Solanum lycopersicum: one gene and its partner. The protein of the gene in region 2 interacts with the protein of the main gene of each other region in a pairwise test. Links are inferred from orthologs where the notes say so. Each region holds a gene or a part of one and is shown on either strand. Other genes may lie near its edges.

What was found.
Region 1: the proteins of ABCB14 (region 2) and FKBP42 interact in a two-hybrid assay, tested with the Arabidopsis thaliana proteins (2 studies listed by BioGRID, with this or other methods). The link is inferred for Solanum lycopersicum from reciprocal best matches to the Arabidopsis thaliana genes ABCB1 and TWD1.

Annotation. Positions count from the first base shown.
Region 1 is NC_090800.1:78,210,135-78,212,748, reverse strand, and holds the end of FKBP42 (peptidyl-prolyl cis-trans isomerase FKBP42), read right to left. Parts: intron 2,285-2,614; coding exon 2,100-2,284; intron 2,017-2,099; coding exon 1,894-2,016; intron 1,797-1,893; coding exon 1,644-1,796; intron 1,199-1,643; coding exon 872-1,198; 3' UTR 590-871; downstream 1-589. UniProt on the Arabidopsis thaliana protein: PPIases accelerate the folding of proteins. It catalyzes the cis-trans isomerization of proline imidic peptide bonds in oligopeptides.
Region 2 is NC_090808.1:2,180,286-2,182,925, reverse strand, and holds the end of ABCB14 (ABC transporter B family member 1), read left to right. Parts: coding exon 1-160; intron 161-584; coding exon 585-1,862; 3' UTR 1,863-2,038; downstream 2,039-2,640. UniProt on the Arabidopsis thaliana protein: Brassinosteroid exporter that, in conjunction with ABCB19, supports the accumulation of exogenous brassinosteroids (BR) in the apoplast, thus promoting BR signaling initiation involving the specific receptor BRI1 and required for plant growth and stress responses.

The DNA of each region.
Region 1 (2,614 bases), on a different chromosome or scaffold from region 2:
AATCAGAGCATATCACTCTTTTTGACTTTTAATTTTCTTTTATTTTTTTATTTTATTTTTTATTCTTGCATTTTCTTATTTTATTAAACCATTCAACCCCAGATTTCCAGCTCTGCGTTCAAGGTAGACTTTCGAGTAAAATTGGTTTCTTTCTGTTCATTAGCAATAAAAGAACTAATTTTGTTTGTTTACGATTATCAATAATAATAGACTCAAAAAAAAAAAACATTTTTCAAAACAAGTTCGAGGAACTTCAGTATATTTGAACGTCATGTGAAATATTGAAATATTCATCTTCATTTGGAATTATTTCACTCAATAAATCTTTATCTTTCTAACGCCTAATCTAAAGAGTTACTATAGATACCTGTTGTGGCTAATTCTCTCTCTCTCTCTCTCACACACACACACACTATATATATATATATATATTCGAGAGGTGTGATGTAGATAGCTTACTAGTGGTGGTGCTCTACATCTCGAACCCTGACCTATAGCTCGGAGGGATACGACTTTATCATTACTCCAAGCTCCCATTCAATACTATGCATACACACTCTTTGCCTTCATTGTGTAAGCTGTAGCTAGTAGGGGAAAAAGGTTACTTCTAAAACAAGAGAAATTGCAATATCCAAAATACATGTATCATGAGCAAACATTTGAAGTCAGAATGAGGAACTAATTAGCAAGGTGTTATCTCACTAATAAAGTTGCATAATTAAAACACTAAATTTCTTTGGTTAGATTTTTTTTTCCCAACACAAAGGTCAATGAAAAAGCTTCTAGAGCACCAGAGTTCTGTTAACTGGAGTAAAATGGTGGGAAGTAGTTTCTTAGTTTTGGATCCACAATAACATCTCTCCCAATTCAGTTAGTCGTCCTTGCGCGTCTTACGCCTGAAAAGCGTATAAAAGAGTGACAATAACCATTGCCAAATGACAATCAGCCAGTTTCTTGACTTTGGTTTAGGCTCTGGTCTTGGTCCAAATAGTCCTTTGTAAAGTTCCTTTTGTTTCTTATAGACAGCCTTCTCGTGTTCTGCAATCAAATTCAATTCCCTTGTAATGGCTTTATCTTGTGGAGCAAGCTTACGTGCTTTAAGGAAGTCCTCACGAGCTGCATCAGTCTGACCAAGTATAGACCTAGCCTTTCCACGCCTAAACAACGCTTTTACATTGTTTTCTTCTTCTGCTAGGACCTAATCATCATCAGTGAATCAAGCTCAACATTACTAACTTCAACCCTAGTAATTTTTTTCTCTGAATAATGAGTTTAAGAACACTGAAAGAAGATAAAGCAAATAAATTTCATAATTCAGTCACCTAAGTGCTAGCATGGGTGCACTTAGTCCTGGAAAAACTGGACAACTGTATTCTCAACGGTAAAAATAATGCCAGAAGGCCCAGAACAAGTAATTAGGTCATAGCAAACTAACAGGGTAAGGTCTTTAGCAAGAATTATAAACTTATAGACCTCTCCTCTACTAGGGAAAGTAAGGCCATTGCAGATAACTTTTTCCCGAGAATCCATGAGGTAACGGAAAGATAGTAAGCCACAGAAAAAGAAAAAAGCAAGGACAAGAATTATCTACAAAAATGGGAGGCAGCAATACGTATCTAAACTTTGAAGAAGTGTGTGCTTACAATGCTACATTGTGCAATGGCTTCATCATATCGCTGGAGCTTCAGCAGGCAGGCTGCCATGTTCAGATGGCAGGGATTCTTTACAGCTAAAGCCATGTCCCGGAACTTACCGAACAGCTGAAACATGAAGTCATCTCCCATATATGCAATGGCCTAAGGAACGCAAATAGAATACATGACGATGAGGATACATGAAACTTATATGGGTACTAGAAAATATGAACTAATCAACTATAAGCAGTGGTGAGACCATTTCATACTGTTGCATAGCTTCCTCCAGTTTCTCTTCCTTAAATAAAGCATTTCCATCCATCTTTCTTCTATCTGCTGTCCCAATTCTCTCCTCTACTGTCATGTCACCTCGTGCTTTTCCCTAAATATATTGCTTAGAAAATTATGAGTACCAGCCCTTTAGTAAGTACAAACCAGAAATTAATTAAGAAACAAATAACTCACTTCTCCTGTCTCATCGAAGCCAATCAACTCAACCTCATACAATACATCAGCTGTAGGTGGGACATTAGGGAAAGAGAAGTTTCCTTCTTTTCCATAAGCTAGTTCCCAGCCAACATGAAATAAAGCACGCTCACCGGATTTCATGCTGTTAACGCCAATAGCTAGGCCAGTCATTTCCTTTCTCTCTGCAAGAAAACAACAAAGCAATACATCTTATATTGTATTACCTAATTGTAAATAGCTAACAATTATTAAGCGCTAAAACTGATTTTATAAATTAGCAGTTCGGTGCTTGGATTAGTTGGATAGAAATGCTGAAACTTATCATAAAAAGTTGATGTGTAAGACAAAAAGATGCTGAAAATTGAACTGCAACTAATGGTATGCCCTTATCCTTTTTCCTTCCAGTTGTTGTAAATGGTAAATTAGCAATTCAGTAGAGAAAGATTAATAAAGTTCAGTGGAGAAAGATGAGATTTAGGAATAGACAAATTGAGGAATGCACTTATTCTCTA
Region 2 (2,640 bases):
CAACAATGTTAGGTCAGCCATCGGGGATAGAATCTCCGTCATTATGCAGAACTCAGCTCTCATGCTAGTCGCGTGCACAGCAGGATTCGTATTGCAGTGGCGTCTGGCCCTTGTCCTCATTGGGGTCTTCCCCGTGGTCGTTGCAGCAACAGTTTTACAGGTGAGTGAGTTCATGGAAACTCAAATTGAATCCCACAACATGTTAATTTATCAGTTAACAGGTTTATCAATAAAAATGATCAATCTCTAACTCATTAAGACACTTCCTGTTTCTGTATACTCCTCCGTCCCAATTTACGTGACATTCTCTCCTTTTTGGTCAGACGAAGAAAAAGGATAACTACTCTCCATATTTAGTTACAATTTGACTTTATACTTCTCATTCTACCCTTTGTGAGACGATATATATGCACACAAACATCTATGACTTATTTTAGACTACAAGTTTTAGAAGTCTTCATTTCATTTCTTCAACTCCATTCCTAGTCAAACACGTTCACATAAAATGGACGGAGATTCATTAAGACACTTCCATTTTAGATTATATGTTCTTTTTTTGCTGAATTATTTGTATCTCCCAACAGAAAATGTTCATGAAGGGATTCTCAGGAGACTTAGAAGCTGCTCATGCCAAAGCCACTCAACTTGCTGGAGAAGCTGTAGCTAATGTAAGAACAGTTGCTGCCTTTAATTCGGAGACGAAAATAGTCAACCTTTTCGACGCAAGCCTCCAGACTCCGCTTAGGCGTTGCTTCTGGAAGGGACAGATAGCGGGAAGTGGTTATGGGATTGCTCAATTCTTGCTTTATGCTTCCTATGCCCTTGGCCTTTGGTATGCCTCCTGGCTTGTCAAGCACGGGATCTCTGACTTCTCGAAGACGATCCGTGTCTTCATGGTGCTCATGGTTTCTGCTAATGGTGCAGCCGAAACATTGACCTTAGCCCCCGACTTCATCAAGGGTGGCAGAGCAATGCGTTCTGTTTTCGAACTCCTTGACCGTAAAACAGAAGTTGAGCCGGATGATCCAGATGCTACCGCTGCCCCTGATCGTCTTCGTGGTGAAGTGGAATTTAAGCATGTAGACTTCTCATATCCCACTAGACCCGACGTGTCAATTTTCCGTGATTTGAATCTTCGTGCTCGAGCTGGAAAGACTCTTGCTCTTGTTGGACCAAGTGGATGTGGAAAGAGCTCAGTCATTGCACTTATAGAGAGGTTCTACGAGCCATCATCCGGACGTGTCATCATCGATGGCAAGGATATTCGTAAGTACAACCTTAAATCCTTGAGAAGACACATTGCTGTAGTGCCACAAGAACCTTGCCTCTTTGCTACCACCATCTATGAAAACATCGCGTATGGACACGAGTCAGCAACCGAAGCTGAGATAACCGAAGCAGCAACCTTGGCAAACGCCCACAAGTTCATATCTGCATTGCCTGATGGATACAAAACATTCGTCGGAGAAAGGGGAGTTCAATTGTCCGGTGGACAAAAGCAAAGAATCGCCATTGCTCGTGCTTTCCTAAGGAAAGCTGAGCTAATGCTGCTAGACGAAGCAACAAGTGCACTCGATGCAGAGTCCGAAAGATGTGTACAAGAAGCATTGGATCGCGCTTGTGCAGGTAAGACCACTATTATTGTTGCACATAGGCTATCTACAATCAGAAATGCACATGTGATCGCGGTCATAGACGATGGGAAAGTAGCAGAACAAGGTTCTCATTCTCATCTGCTGAAAAACTACTCAGATGGTATTTATGCGCGTATGATACAACTACAACGATTTACACATGGAGAAGCTGTGAATATGGCAACAGGATCAACGTCTTCTTCGCGTCCTAAGGAAGATCTAGATTGAGAAAAAAAACGCGAATTGAAGCTCAAAATGAAAATACCACTAGAAAAAAAAAGAAAGAGGAGTATACCTTGTGTAACACCCTTATTATTTTTTGGACTGCTAATTTCTTGTTCACTGTTGCTAGTATAGTATAGTATAATATGTGCATTAATCCAAAATTTATATTTATCCTTCAATCTTTCACTCTTTTTCTCTGAGAACACACCAAATCAACTCAACTTAGTTGTGGCAGTACAATGTTTGTATTACGGTAGACTGTTTACATCATAGCCCCTTACTTGAATCATGATAACGCAGAATGCTTTATGCACCGTATTTTGCTTTTCTTTAGTTGTACAATGTAGGAAGGAAGAAAAAGGGTGAGTGGGACAATTCACTATCTTTATGGGGATTTTTAGTACCTAGTGTTCATTAGCTACTCGATAAAGTGGTTGAGAGTTGTGAGGTTTCAGGTTTAAATTTCATTAGAGGAAAAAAAAACACTATGTGGTGATTCGTCTCATCTGTCCTAGCATAGGTGAATAGAGTTACTTGGTATTTGTTACTGGTGAGAGGTAACGTGTATCTTGTGAAACTGATCGAGGTGCGTGAAAACTGACCCAGATACTATCCTCATAAAAAAAGGTCAAAAGATGACATTTAATCATAGTTTCGAGCCATATACCAACCGAACTAAGTTCAGTATTTAAGTAGAGAAGGATTGCAAACTCATAATCTTCGAGTTTAAAAGGCTTTGACATAAGCATATACCGGTTCAACCAAAGAGTTATCATTAGAC